Drosophila melanogaster: one gene and its partner. The protein of the gene in region 1 interacts with the protein of each later gene in a pairwise test. Each region holds a gene or a part of one and is shown in the gene's direction. Other genes may lie near its edges. The genes, in order: RpS2 and Zfrp8.

Region 1 (3,937 bases):
AATCAACTACTTTAAAGCCTACCGAAGAACCAACTACTCGCAAAACGTCAACCACAAAGACTACTAGAGAGCCAACTACAAAGAGGGTAACAACTGAAAGGACAACTCGGGAGCCAACCACTCGTAAGACAACAACCCATAAGACAACAGAAGAACCAACCACCAAGAAGACAACAACTAAGAAGACGACTCATGAACCCACAACTAAGAAATCAACTACTTTAAAGCCTACCGAAGAACCAACTACTCGCAAAACGTTAACCACAAAGACTACTAGAGAGCCAACAACCAAGAGGGTAACAACTGAAAGGACAACTCGGGAGCCAACCACTCGTAAGACAACAACCCATAAGACAACAGAAGAACCAACCACCAAGAAGACAACAACTAAGAAGACGACTCATGAACCCACAACTAAGAAATCAACTACTTTAAAGCCTACCGAAGAACCAACTACTCGCAAAACGTCAACCACAAAGACTACTAGAGAGCCAACTACAAAGAGGGTAACAACTGAAAGGACAACTCGGGAGCCAACCACTCGCAAGACAACAACCCATAAGACAACAGAAGAACCAACCACCAAGAAGACAACAACTAAGAAGACGACTCATGAACCCACAACTAAGAAATCAACTACTTTAAAGCCTACCGAAGAACCAACTACTCGCAAAACGTCAACCACAAAGACTACTAGAGAGCCAACTACCAAGAGGGTAACAACTGAAAGGACAACTCGGGAGCCAACCACTCGTAAGACAACAACCCATAAGACAACAGAAGAACCAACCACCAAGAAGACAACAACTAAGAAGACGACTCATGAACCCACAACTAAGAAATCAACTACTTTAAAGCCTACCGAAGAACCAACTACTCGCAAAACGTCAACCACAAAGGCTACTAGAGAGCCAACTACAAAGAGGGTAACAACTGAAAGGACAACTCGGGAGCCAACCACTCGTAAGACAACAGCCCATAAGACAACAGAAGAACCAACCACCAAGAAGACAACAACTAAGAAGACGACTCATGAACCCACAACTAAGAAATCAACTACTTTAAAGCCTACCGAAGAACCAACTACTCGCAAGACATCTACCACAAAGACAACCAGAGAGCCAACCACTCGGGAGACAAGCACATCGGTTAAGACAACAGCAGATCAAACAACAAAAAGGACGACAGCTGAAATGAGTACAACAAATCAGGAACCAACATCCGTAGAAACTACTACCAATTCATCGAATCAGAGCAATACGACCACGGAATCAACCACCACCGAAGAGCAACATGTTCACCACCATCATCACCATATTCATTATCACAAACCCGCTGATCTCGGTCCATCAATTCTTCCACTTCCTGATCTTCCTCCTCTCCCGTTGCCCCTGCCCTGGCCCCCACTGCCACTTCCTGAAATCCCTCTACCTTTGCCTCCTTTACCAACAGCGTTGCCTCCGCTGCCCCCCCTACCACCTTTGCCACCTTTGCCGGAAGTAAATTTAACAGCAATATCCTTACCAGAAATTTCCCTTCCAAATTTGCCACCACTACCACAATTGCCGAATCCTTTCCCAAACTTCTTTTGGGGTCGTTAAACACTAAAACCATTAAAATTGTATGAACTTACATATTATAAATGTGCCATTAAATATATATTTATATAATATACAATTATAAATAATTTATAAATTTAATTATTATATTTTTCAACTTATCTTTAAGAAGAGCAAAATGGATCTTCGTCTTCAAAAACAAGACCAAAAATTGGGCTTAAAAAGAAAATCGCTTTAATGTAAAAAGCCCTGAACACATATATCTAATTCATTTCGTCAAACTCTTAAAACTATTAAAAAAAAAAACATGTTTAAATTCTGAAATTTTTACACAGTATTTTGTAAGTAACTTGACATAATTTGAAATTCATCATTTAAATATTTGTATATATATCGATTTCCCATACGATATTATGCTTATCGATGGTATCGGCACTATCGTAAGTGATTGCCCCAGCTCTAAGCGGATGGCTCGGCCATTTCGTTTTTGTCTTCACCCCAATAAAGTTGATAGACCTACAAGTAAGCATTTTCGGTTGGATTATGTGGGAAATAAATGGTGTTTAATTTAATCAGCATGCGCCATACCACAGTCAGAGTTTTGATATATGCTAAAAGCTAGCTAAAAGTGTAAAAATCCAAGTGATGGGTTGTATCTTTCGTAAAAATCAATTGTCCCTTTGGGGGACACCACGTGTTCCAAAATGGCGACTATATGTAGTAGGGTTAACACCTTTACTTTATTTTGCGGTAGTCACTATGAGACTTGCGGCTAAAGATTAGGTATCTGGCTTGGGAGCAGAAAATCTTAGGATTTACAATAAAAAACGTGAACCTAACCTATTTTTTTAACTCTCTTTCAGAATGGCGGACGAAGCTCCAGCCCGTAGTGGATTCCGTGGCGGATTTGGCTCTCGTGGTGGTCGTGGTGGACGCGGTCGTGGCCGTGGACGCTGGGCCCGTGGACGTGGAAAGGAGGACTCCAAGGAGTGGGTGCCAGTGACCAAGCTGGGACGCCTGGTGCGCGAGGGCAAGATCAAGTCTTTGGAGGAGATCTACCTGTACTCGCTTCCCATCAAAGAGTTCGAGATCATCGACTTCTTCCTGGGATCCTCGCTGAAGGATGAGGTGCTGAAGATCATGCCCGTCCAGAAGCAGACCCGTGCTGGTCAGCGTACCCGTTTCAAGGCCTTCGTTGCCATCGGCGACAACAATGGCCACATTGGTCTGGGCGTTAAGTGCAGCAAGGAAGTGGCCACCGCCATCCGTGGTGCCATCATTCTGGCCAAGCTCTCCGTGGTGCCCGTGCGCCGTGGCTACTGGGGCAACAAGATCGGCAAGCCCCACACCGTGCCCTGCAAGGTCACCGGCAAGTGCGGTTCCGTCTCCGTGCGCCTCATCCCCGCTCCCCGTGGTACTGGCATTGTCTCGGCCCCCGTGCCCAAGAAGCTGCTGACCATGGCCGGTATTGAGGATTGCTACACCTCGGCCCGTGGCTCCACTGGAACCCTCGGCAACTTCGCCAAGGCTACATATGCCGCCATCGCCAAGACGTACGCGTACTTGACCCCCGATCTGTGGAAGGAGATGCCTCTGGGCTCCACTCCTTACCAGGCATACTCGGACTTCCTGTCCAAGCCCACTCCTCGTCTGCACGCCGATGCCTAAGTGAACACTTTCGAGGCCAATCAATCCAGAGTTTTTGAATAAAGTCATAAACTTTTAAATGTAATCGCTTCGTGTTTGTTATTGTTGTGGACATTGGTCGATTTGGAGATTCTGTTGTAGTTAAACTATTTGTAACTTAATAGAACTTATGTCTCCTTTGTTGATCCAGACAATGCAGTAAAAGCATTCTACTAAAAAACAACAGGAAATACGAAACGCATTGCTTGCTGCTTACATGTAAGAATATATTTAAAAATGTACACTTAGGATAAGAAGTAAAAAAGGTCTACGCCTTGACTCCATACGCTTCTGGCATACGCTCAATCGCGTACTTATGCGCAGCCACGTACATGATGGGCACGCCGGGAATCTTCCGGATGCGATTCTTAAGGTCCTTGTCGTTGGTGGCCACAATGTAGCATTTGTGCTGGCGCACCCGCTCCACGAGGCAATCGTCCGCATAGGTGCCCTTGTGCAGGCACGGCAGTCGCTCGAATCTGGGATCGGAGATGATGCGCAGGGCCAGCTTGTACTTGTTGCCCAGCTTCTCCAGCTCGGCACGCACGCAGTCGGAGATATAGGGTATGCACTTGGCATACAGACAGTCCATCATACCTTGCACAATATCCAGTTTGTTCTTAATGCTAAAGTTAATGAAGTTCGTGTCCAGAACGATGTGGTACGGCGGTCCCAGCTGGGTGTTGTACTGG
Region 2 (3,832 bases), on another chromosome or scaffold:
CGTCCGTCTGCTAATTGAATTTTCAATATTTATTGCCTGGCCAGGACACATAGCGTACATACCACTACCGAATGCCTGCAGCCGAGTGAAAATGCCCCTCGATGGGCAGAGAATTTATGTGCTGACATTACAATGGACGCAATATGGCAGGGATTTGAGGCGTTTATTGATTCAGGCAGCACTCCAAGTCGAAGTCGGCATCGAAGGCATCGATTGGCCAGGACGAGGATGGGCCATGCAACAGTTTCGGGCCATGTGCCCTGGACAAAGATCCACCGAACCACACACTGGCCGTCAGGGGCGATTATGCATATACATATACATATATATGAGTCTGCCTACCGGCAACCGATGGCAGGGTGCTCCCATTCTTATTTTCAGCAATGCGGCACTAAATTTAGCAAATAAAAGCTCACCCGGCTCGTTCTTTGGCAGCCAGAAAGCGAGCCACTGCCAGGGGCATCGAAGCGGAGATACCCTGTACCGGACACCTAATAGTTCCTACACAAACTTTTCTCTATGTGCACTCCATCAAACATCTGGTGCCTTCTTGTTCACTAGCTCGCAGCAGCGCACGTGATACCCTGTAATTCGAAACCAGGAAGCATCCGCCTTGGACTTACGCAAATTCCCAGTGGTCCGCTGGTGGCTCGGCTCTCATTTTTGCATTTTTCTTCGGAAAAGTCCGCGCGCTGGAAAAGTCAACACAAGTTCACCTCTCCAAATTCGTGCGTGGGTGTGGGCGGAAGGTGGTGGTAGGTGGATGGTGGGCGGGAGTGGGTGGTTGGCGATTCGAGAGGGGGCGGTGCGTGGGTGGGTTTATTTTTAGCGCTGCTGCGACGGAAACGCGACAAGTCGGAGATTCTGCTTCCGCAATGTTGTTGTTTTTGCAGCCGTTATTATTAACAAATATTACGCTATCCACGGGCTCTTCTTCTTGCTTGTTTGCGTTGACAAATCTCGTTGCGCTTTCACAATCACATCAAATCGTGGGAAAACTGGTTTTCCCCCCGTTTCTGAGCGGTTCACTCTTCGGTTCGTGATCGTTTGTGTCCGCGGGCAATGGAAAGTCTTTGTTTTTCACACGCGTTTATCACAACAGTAAATAAAATATCACTTTAGCCAGTTTAATCAACTCGGAGAGCAGAACTTTTAACCGTGAGAAATAACCGCATACTGAAGTGGCCAAAATCTGGGAAATCGCCATGGAGGAACTCGCGGAAAATACCAAATCCATGGCATGCAAGCTTTATTATCAGTGGCGTAGAAGAGGGGCCTTATCTGATTAATCCTCGCTCTATAATTTTGAACCGCTTGCCATTTTTAAGGGCTCAGGATAATGAGATTTGTTATTCTTCCAGATTAATGTCATTAAATTAAAATCTTATGTTTCCCCCTTATGTTTATAAGAGTAATCGCAAATATTCAATGAAGAAAAGAATATTTTATTTTATTGAACTGCCGAAATCAACAAATTAAACGAATGTAATTAATTTAAATTTTAAATTATAACACCCAAAAAGTGTGATTCCCCGAAAATATCAGTTATTATACAACGTTATTTCGGAATTTGTAGAGGTATTTTCTGGCGCTCCCGCTGCGGTCACACTGAACACGAGTTTCGTTTCGGAGATTGAAAGAAATGGAGATTGACTTGGGATTTGCGGAAAAGAGCGACAATGGCGCCTGGCTGAGCAACCGCTACTTTCCCAGCAAGCTGGGAGGCCAGCCCGCATGGCTGGAACTGGAGGCCTTGCCGCCCACGTCGCAGCTGCAGTGCAGCAAGTGCAGGGCACCCAAATCCTTCCTGGCTCAGCTATACGCTCCCTTCGAAGACGAGTACAACTTTCATCGGTCCATCTATGTGTTCCTGTGCCGGAATTCCGACTGCCAGGAGGCCCAAAATGCAAGGTAATCCCTTCTAGCTCTGAAAACCAACTTGCAACCTAATCTTACCCATCTTTCCAGCAATTTCACAGTCCTCAGGTCACAGTTGCCGCGAAAAAATAAGTTCTTTTCGGAGGAGGAGCCGAGCGACGTGGGTCAACCCCTGGTAGGAACAGCAGCCATATTTTCAGAACATACTCATCATAATATGTTTTCTTAGCCCGCCGTTCCCTGCCTAAAGAAACTATGCGCCGCCTGCGGTTGCCATGCTCCTCACGCCTGCAGCAAATGCAAGGCAATCCACTACTGCTCACCAGAGCATCAAAGGGCCCACTGGCCACAACACAAGCCAAACTGCGGAGCACCAGAAGTAGCCACTGAGAAGCCCTTAACACAAATCGTTTTCCCAGAATTTGAGATTGTAATGGACAGCAACCCCGTGGAGTCTGGCGAGGAGGACAAGGACGATGAGGCTCGCTTGGCGGAGTTCCAGGAGCTGGAGTCCAGCGGGAAGACGGGCGACTTGAGCAATGTTTCCGAGGCGGAGATGGACAAGTACTTCGGAAACTCGGCGGCCGCCGATGACAAGACCTTTCGTCAGTTCAAAAAGCAAACAGCAGCCGAACCCGATCAGATCGTGCGCTACAAACGTGGAGGCCAGCCCCTCTGGATCACGAATACCGTCAAAACGGTGGAGGACCAACTTAACAAGCTGCCCAATTGCATTGCTTGCGGAGGAGAGCGTCAGTTCGAATTTCAGATTATGCCGCAAGCGCTGACTCTTCTGGAGGACGAAAACCTCGACTGGGGCGTCCTGGCCGTCTACACTTGCGCCAAAAGCTGCCCCATCGACGGCTACGTGGAGGAGCTTCTCATCAAGCAGGACATTGTGGCGGAGGATCAGAGTTGACATTAAAATGCGTACATTTAAATTTTATTCTTGTCAATTACGAAACACGTGAACATTTACTTCAGCTTGATGATGGGGAAGTAGCTGTGTTTGGAGAAGTCGAACTCTGGCTGCCGCTTGACTTCCTTCTGGTGACCGCGAGCCAGCACATTCATCACCACAAAGTTAGTCCGTGCGATTTGCAGGAGGTCCAGCATCTGAAATTAAACGAAACGCATTTTAATCCAGGAAAACCAATTCAGAACTACCATTGACTTACCTCCTGATCTGGGTTTTGAATGCTTTCGAGAACATTGCGGGCCTGGTCAAAGTGCTTGGCCGCATAGGTATATAGATCCTCGACGCTATGTCGCATCATGTGCTCCCGGACGTTTTTGAACTCTGCGTACGAAACTGGCGGAGGACTGGTGAGTGTGGCGAAGGGCAGGAAGCGTCGGTTGTAGCGGATCTCCTCGTTGTCGAACTTGGACAGCGGCAGTCGCACGCGTCCGTCTTTGGTCAGGGCGCCCATTGCTTTATACATTCCGCCGCAGAGGCTGAGTAGCGCGTGGTAGAAGACGATCTCGGCGCGGTACGGCCTTTGAGTCTTTTTGTTCTTTTTCGGCTTGGCCGCCTTGCGGTTTTTAGCCGCTCCGCTGCCGCCCGACTGGGTCTTACTTTGGTGCTCGGCGTACTCCTCCTGGGCCAGGAGGATGTTCTCCGTGCGCGTCAGCGCGGAGACCAGGAAGCCAATGAGGAACTCGTATGGATACCAGTAGATGTAGAGGAACTCATGCACAGCATATAGTTCCAGCTCAAAGCCGGACATCAGGAAGATCAGCATCGCACGGAAACAGTTGTACAGCACCCATGTGGAGAAGTGGGTGCTGTGCTTCAGAGCGGTGGCCATGGGCTCGTTGCCCTCCATGGCTCGTTCGTTGGCCAGTTGGTTCATCATAGAGTCCAATCGCGCTGCATCCACTTGGATGGTGTCGAAGTTCTCTATCAGACGCGCCAGCTTATCCCGCTGTCTGGCGCGATTGAAGCCGCAGATGC

What was found.
Region 2: the proteins of RpS2 (region 1) and Zfrp8 interact in a two-hybrid assay, tested with the Drosophila melanogaster proteins (2 studies listed by BioGRID).

Annotation. Positions count from the first base shown.
Region 1 is NT_033779.5:9,895,617-9,899,553, reverse strand, and holds RpS2 (ribosomal protein S2), read left to right. Parts: upstream 1-2,001; 5' UTR 2,002-2,081; exon of another isoform or gene 2,082-2,342; intron 2,343-2,422; 5' UTR 2,423-2,423; coding exon 2,424-3,227; 3' UTR 3,228-3,289; downstream 3,290-3,937. Other genes in the region: Muc30E (mucin 30E), read left to right, coding at 1-1,601; Bka (bekka), read right to left, coding at 3,514-3,937. UniProt on the Drosophila melanogaster protein: Component of the ribosome, a large ribonucleoprotein complex responsible for the synthesis of proteins in the cell.
Region 2 is NT_033778.4:24,132,374-24,136,205, forward strand, and holds Zfrp8 (zinc finger protein RP-8), read left to right. Parts: upstream 1-1,615; 5' UTR 1,616-1,642; coding exon 1,643-1,911; intron 1,912-1,968; coding exon 1,969-2,053; intron 2,054-2,107; coding exon 2,108-2,797; 3' UTR 2,798-2,853; coding exon of another isoform or gene 2,854-2,994; 3' UTR 2,995-3,032; downstream 3,033-3,832. Other genes in the region: Naa35 (N(alpha)-acetyltransferase 35), read right to left, coding at 2,854-2,994, 3,057-3,832.